2 linked regions of the Nothobranchius furzeri genome follow. The protein of the gene in region 2 purifies or fractionates together with the protein of the main gene of each other region. This does not show direct contact. Links are inferred from orthologs where the notes say so. Each region holds a gene or a part of one and is shown on either strand. Other genes may lie near its edges.

Region 1 (4,016 bases), on a different chromosome or scaffold from region 2:
TGTGTGTGGGGTGTACATAATAACGTAAATTCAGCTTTAATAATTTTCATTCTTTACAAAATCTGTTGATTTTAGAAGCATAAACTCATTCGCTGCCAGCTGTTTCCTGATCGCCAACGGCCTTCGCTGCCAGCGTTTCTCACCGTTTTTACAGTTTTTTTAAGAGTCACAGAACGTTGTGCGCTAGGATGATGTCGACGCCAAAACAACCAAAACTAAGAGTAGACTCGCCTCTTACATCAGGAAGAATCCGCGTGTTTTGAGCGTTATCCATTCTTTCATAATCCGTTATCGAATTGTGATCGGCAGACGCTTTTCCGGTTCGCGCCTCACTTTTTTACAGGAACGGCCCAAAACGATCTCCTAATACATGGATGTTCTGCTTCCTGATCACATGACGTGTGACGTATGCAGATGAAGATCGGCGTCAGGGCTGAGATGTTTGTTCTCTCAGCACGGGGGCTCGTTCCGAAGCTCAAACTAAAAAAATGCAAATGACGACTTTAGTCGTCAATGGCAGTGAATGAGTTTATGTCAGTATATCGGTATCGGCAAATATCGGTTGTCGGCTATAACAGTGATCTTAATATCGGTATCGGCCCTAAAATTTCATAGCGGCGCCGGTGCATCACTACTTCTCTTCATCTAGTTTACTGCAACTTGTTTATGACTGTGTTACAGTGAATCTGCAAGAAGAAACTATTTGACTCATTAACTGCCACTGACGACAAAAGTGGTCATTTGCATTTTTTTACTGTGTGGGCGTCGGATCGAGTTCCTGCACCGTGAGAACAAACATCCCAGCTCTAAAGCCGATCTTCATCCATGTACATTATATGTCACGTGATCAGGAAGCAGAAAACCCATGTGATAGGAGATCGTTTTGGGCCGCTGTTGTAAAAAAAAGTGAGCGAACCAGAAAAGTTTTTGCCGATCACAATTCGACAACGGATTATGAAAGAACGGATAACGCTAGAAACACGCGGATTCTTCCTGATGTAAGAGGTGAGTCTACTCTTTCTTCTGGTAGTGTTGGTGTTGACATCATCATAGAGCTCTATGTTCTGTGACTCTTAAAAAATAAACAGTGAAAACGCTGAAAAACGTTGGCAGCGAAGGGCTTTTCTGATCAGAAAATGACTGGCCGTTAAGGAGTTAAAAAGATGAAAGAAAATACATTTATTTGATGTTGATATTGATAGTGTCACTAACTTAAAAGTGACATTTCAAGACTCTTAACTCATCATCATTGCAACCCAGCTCTCACAGCTGATGCACATTCATTCATCCATCCGTTGTCTTCCACGTACCCGGAGACGGGTCGTGGGGGCAGTAACCTAAGCAGAAATGCCCAGAATTCCCTCTCCCCAGCCACTTGGGCCAGCTCTTCCAGGGGAATTCTAGGGCGTTCCCTGGCCAGCCGACAGACAATAGTCCCTCCAACGTGTCCTGGGTCTTCCTTTGAGTCTCTTCCCGGTTGGACGTGGCCAGAAAACCTCACCAGGGAGGCGTCCAGGAGGCATCCTGACCAGATGCCCGAGCCACATCAATTGGTTCCTCTCGATGTGGAGGAGCAGCAGGTCTACTCCAAGCCCCTCCCGGATGACCGAGCTTCTCACCTAGGGAGAGCCCAGCCACTCTGCAGAGAAAACTAAATTTGGCCGCTTGTATCTGCAACTTCACTCTTTCGGTCACTACCAAAAGCTTGTGACCACAAATGAGGATTGGAAAGTAGATCGACCGGTAAATCAAGAGCTTACTCAAAAACAAAACATGGATACTGATACTACTTGTACGTCCTGAATAATATACCGCATGGATGGAGTTATTTTCTATGCTTTCTCTTCCATGTTTGATGTAAACATTGGAAGAATTGAAAAGCATCTGCTTATTAATACGTTTGTTAAAATCTGCTTGAAATATGTGACTCCAGCTCATCCTACAACAGCTTTAACTTCATTCAGGGCTATGATCGGACAAGGATCCTGTTGTTATATCTCACCTTTTTTGAGTTCTCGGTGCCAGACTTTGACGATGAGAGCCGAGTGTTTGCGGTGGTGGATGATCCACAGAGACAGAGTCTGGACGCTCTGCTGAGAGCTGCTCAGCTCCGACAGCTTCTTCTCCAAAGCAGATTCCGAAAAGGACGACATGCCAACTGGTTCTAGAGTGTCTAATTCCACTAAAACTGACCCCCACTGGCTCTAAAGCAACCGAGCTCCGAGCTATTTTGGAGAAACTCGCCCAGTCATCAAAACTCAAGTTGTGTCGCTAAACTCGTAGACTTACAGCATTGGACAGCTTTCTACTGCCGGTTACAGATATATATATCTAACGGTAGGAAAGCACTTAAGGAACTAAAGAGCTAACCAATACTTGCTGAAGATGCTTCAATAGCGTAGCTGCTGAATCTTTGTTGAATGCTGTTTGTTTACAGCGATTGCTAACGTTAGCTAGGCGAGCTAAGCAGCCATCTGCAGAACAGTGCAGCCCTGGAGCTCCTCTTCTCTTAACTACGTAAAACAAACACAAAAATCCACAATATTCCTTTTTGAGGTGTTCCAAGCGATGATGTATAAAAGACAATAGCAAAAAATAATTTAAAAAACAACTCACAAACTAAGTTTCTCGCCCTAAATCATGAAAAAAATGCCTCGAAAAATGGCAGCTTGCACTTTCACCTCGACATGTGCGTCGCAGAGAAATGACGTGACAGAACCCGCGCATTATCGAACTGGCAAAACAAAGGCAAAATACACTGTAAAATACTCTAAACACAAAATTGCAAACTCTTATGAACACACAACTCTTTTTACAGAGTTGAATACGTTTCTAATCATTCTATATTTGTTTGCTCACCCAATTTATTTGGCTTAAAACATAATTAAAATTGTATTCATGTAAAGTGTTTACCAAAATGGCTGTCTGGACTTTTTAATTGACTTTTTATGAAGGAGGAGGGCTGTTAATTTCCCACCAGTGGCGAAAAGCTGGAACTGCACACTGCACAAGTATTCTGTTATCAATTTAGAAAAGGAGATGGGGGATTTGGCGCTTCCTAGTGGCATAATGCTGGTGCTGCACTCTTGTTCTGTTAACTATTGAGAATAATGGGGAGATTGAGATTTGGCGCCCCAAGTGGCAACTAACGTAAACTACACCATTGTTCTGTTAACATTTTAGGTTCATGTGTGATGATGCAGTCATTACAATTGCCACATTAGTAAATTAAAATAAATTTAGTACATTTTAAAAATAAAACTTGACTTGCATTGTCAGAAAAATAATAGTAAAAACACAATTCCTGCAACTCTGTAAGCAAACGATTCCATTAGATTTGGTCTTTTAGTCCACTTTAAATCATTAAATAAAATTAATAATTAGATAATCGCTTGTAGCTTGTGTGTATAATAATTTGTCAGTTGCTCACAATGAAAGAAAATGACTGTAAAACATAAACTACAAATCTAGCATACACTGAACTACATGCATTTATTATAACTTGCCTTGTGAAAGAGACAAATGTAATCCAAGTTTGGATGCTCTTCTTGCAGTTTAAGTACATCTTAATAAATAATTTTCTAAATGGCAGCATCACCTTTTTACAAAGCTGCTGTTTGTCTTACCTCGGCTGCTTTTGGTTTCCCAGCTGAACAAACAGTAACTGTGTGTTTATCTTACCAATCACCAGACATTTGTTCTGACGGAAACCAAAACTCAAATTTTAGCCCAGATCTTTGAGTTAAAACAAACTAATTTTCATGATCATTTGCCTTCTTTTTACTGTGGCTGATAAAATACACACTATTCCATTCAAAACAATGGGTTTGGGATCTGCACACATGGACCTTCAGTCAAATATCAGTGCAAAAGATGTGTATTATCATTTGAGGTTCAAATATCAACCAAAATGCAAACCATGGTGCACCTGTACAGATTTTTTTTCAATAGGCAGCAAACTAGATGGAAAACAAATGTAGTTTTCATCTGGAGTGAGATCTCTGTTATAACCAAAA
Region 2 (2,874 bases):
GTTTTAGAGCCCTTTAATTGGCAGAATCTGATATTAATTTAGTTCTTACAAAAAATGGGTCCCAACATGGTTTGTGTGGCGTTGCCATAGTGTGACGTCATAGGCACAGATCCCCTGTCCTCTTGTTTGGAAATGGAAATATGATCACCCTACATTAAACAAACTGTCCACCCGGGCTTTTGCGCTGCACAGAGACGCTTCGCTGCCTACGACTGAACGTCAGTTGAGAGTCAGTCTCATGCAGACTGACCAATGAAGAGAGGGCCTCAAGTTAAGACCCTCTCCTCATTGGTCAGTCCACACGAGGTGGGTCAAAGGTTACTCTGGGCGGGTTACGTGTTGTCAGGCATTCAAGTATTGAGTATATTTACTGCATATTACAGTAAAATATTCTGTATGTGACCACATTATGGTGATCCTCGGGTCGTGATGATGGAGCCCTTGAATATTGTTGCCCAGGGTACAACAAAGTGTTAATCTGGCCCTGGTTCCGCCGTCACATTCCCGCAGAAACTGGTTGATCACACCGGGGCCAGACTACTAGCATGTGGTTTTACAACCACAATGTCCTCAGAAGCAAAAGCGCTTTTAAAAGGGAGGGAGGAGTCCTAACTGTTGCTGCAGGCGTGTTGTGTGAGAGTGCAGTTATATACTGGTTAATATATTTTTGGGTTCAGTTGCTTTCATGTGGCCTAATGTGAGTCTATTTGGGATCATTGGAATGATCAGCAGCATTTCTTGATGTGACTTTATGGCAGTTGCCCAGGGCATCATCGCAAGGAGGATGGCATTCATTTACTTTTGCTTTATTTGGTATTTTTTCAGTCATTTTTGGAAATAGTGATCAATTTTGATTAATTCACAGCCAATGTTTAATTACATTTAAAATAAATGTCAACAGATGAGATCAAACAAAACAGATGAGAATTGCCCTTAAGCTGTTTAACTTGGACCAAGCATTTTAGGTCACAGATAGATGTAGCTTAGGGTCTCTGTCTATACACCTTATAAGACAATTTAGGTGATGGCATGTTGTTTTCTAATAATGTTGTGTTAAATAAAGTGAAGGAAGGAGAGAAATAACGTTTCCCTAGCAGTTTTAAAAAATTTCCCCATGTAATCCGATTAATCGATTAATCGTGTCGAGACCCCATCCGATTAATCGATTATCCATATAATCGTTTGTTGCAGCCCTAGTGGTTATTGTTGGTGTCAGCATCATTGTCCCACGTGTCCGCTCCTCCTGCAGGACTGTACCTGTGAAGATTTCTGTCCTGAGTGCTCCGTGGAGCTGACCCTGGATGTTCGGTGCACGGAAGATCAGACGCGTCACGTCACCTCGCGTGACCTGTTGTCCAACAATCCCAGAGTCATCCCGGTGAGTGTGCAGTCTCTGGAGTTGCATCACAGAGCAGAACACAAAGCTTAACGTTCTCTTGTGGGTTTCTAGGTGACTTCTAGGAGCCGAGACAATGATCCAAATGACTACGTTGAGCGAGAGGGCGAGTTTCTCTTTAAAATACTTGTGGAACAATTTCATTGTGTTCTTCCACACTTTGCTTATCTACATTTTCTGTTTGTGTCGTTTACCAACACGACAGACATTTTGTTGGTAAAGCTTCGTAAAGGTCAGGAGCTTCGGCTCAGAGCGTACGCAAAGAAAGGTTTTGGTAAGGAGCACGCCAAGTGGAACCCAACCGCGGGGGTGTCCTTTGAGTACGACCCGGACAACGCACTGAGACACACGGTCTATCCACGACCTGAGGAGTGGTACGTCTTCATTTCACCATAAATCTTGTAAATTATAATGCTGAACAGCAACAGAATGGTGTGTTTTATCTCAGGCCAAAGAGTGAATACTCTGAGATCGAGGAGGATGAAGTTCAGGCTCCCTACGACCCAAACGGAAAGCCAGAAAGGTAAATAAACTTCTATTATAGGATAATTTTAATGATGTTTCCTGTTAAGAAGTTCTGCGTGTTCTTGGTTCAGCTCAGGAATCGTTTTTACTTTAAAAAAAAAACACAAAACTGAGATGTTCTGAAAAGGAAAACTTGGGATTTTTGCTCCATCCAGGTTCTATTTCAACGTGGAGTCGTGCGGTTCTCTTCGACCAGAGACCATCGTCATGTCGGCGTTGGCGGTCCTCAAGAAGAAGCTGAGTGACCTGCAAACGCAGCTGAGCCACGAGATCCAGAGTGACGTTCTCACCATCAACTAACTAAGCAGAACCTGGATTCACACTGGCTAGGGGGGTTCTGAGATTAATACAAAATATTTAGTTGGATTAAGAATAAAACTTCAAACTGTCAGATAATTATTTTTTGTTTAATGACTGTTTTTAAATAAATCCTTTTTAAATGTGTGTCTCTTTACTAGTGTTCGTTTTATTTTGAAGACCAGCTGTTGGAAGTTTGAAGTGACCTGAAGAAACTTTGTGCTTCAAAGATAAAAGAAAAACAAGAAAACTAAATCTCTAGATAATGACAGCAGTATGAAAATCGAGCTATTTGTAATATTCTATTTAATTTGATATTTTTTGTAATTAGAATTTTAATCCTCCAATGAAAACAAAAAATAATGACTTCAGATTATGTTTAATTGTAATTGGTAATCTGATTTGATTGATGGCCACATACTCTGTTAAAAAGGGATTAAATTTATTAAGCCATCTAGATGCAACTGACTAGCGCTTCATCATCATCACAACACCACCCTGCTTCACTGGCTGCCAGTCAACTTCAGGGTTCATTTCAAGATCCTGGTTCTGGTCTATAGGGCCTTACATGGACAAGCACCATCTTACATTGGTGATCTTCTTAGTCCCTACACCCCCAGCAGGTCCCTGAGGTCCAGTGATCAAAGCCTACTGGT

Evidence for each region. Proteins that work in one complex are often made in the same cells at the same time.
Region 1: the proteins of polr2c (region 2) and rprd1b purify together in Homo sapiens (affinity purification with mass spectrometry; 3 studies listed by BioGRID and IntAct, counting the BioPlex papers as one, with this or other methods). This does not show direct contact. The link is inferred for Nothobranchius furzeri from reciprocal best matches to the Homo sapiens genes POLR2C and RPRD1B.

Annotation. Positions count from the first base shown.
Region 1 is NC_091755.1:32,652,122-32,656,137, reverse strand, and holds the start of rprd1b (regulation of nuclear pre-mRNA domain-containing protein 1B), read right to left. Parts: upstream 2,809-4,016; 5' UTR 2,154-2,808; coding exon 2,003-2,153; intron 1-2,002. UniProt on the Homo sapiens protein: Interacts with phosphorylated C-terminal heptapeptide repeat domain (CTD) of the largest RNA polymerase II subunit POLR2A, and participates in dephosphorylation of the CTD by RPAP2. Transcriptional regulator which enhances expression of CCND1.
Region 2 is NC_091744.1:86,086,321-86,089,194, forward strand, and holds the end of polr2c (DNA-directed RNA polymerase II subunit RPB3), read left to right. Parts: intron 1-1,249; coding exon 1,250-1,378; intron 1,379-1,450; coding exon 1,451-1,502; intron 1,503-1,601; coding exon 1,602-1,770; intron 1,771-1,844; coding exon 1,845-1,919; intron 1,920-2,076; coding exon 2,077-2,221; 3' UTR 2,222-2,365; downstream 2,366-2,874. UniProt on the Homo sapiens protein: Core component of RNA polymerase II (Pol II), a DNA-dependent RNA polymerase which synthesizes mRNA precursors and many functional non-coding RNAs using the four ribonucleoside triphosphates as substrates.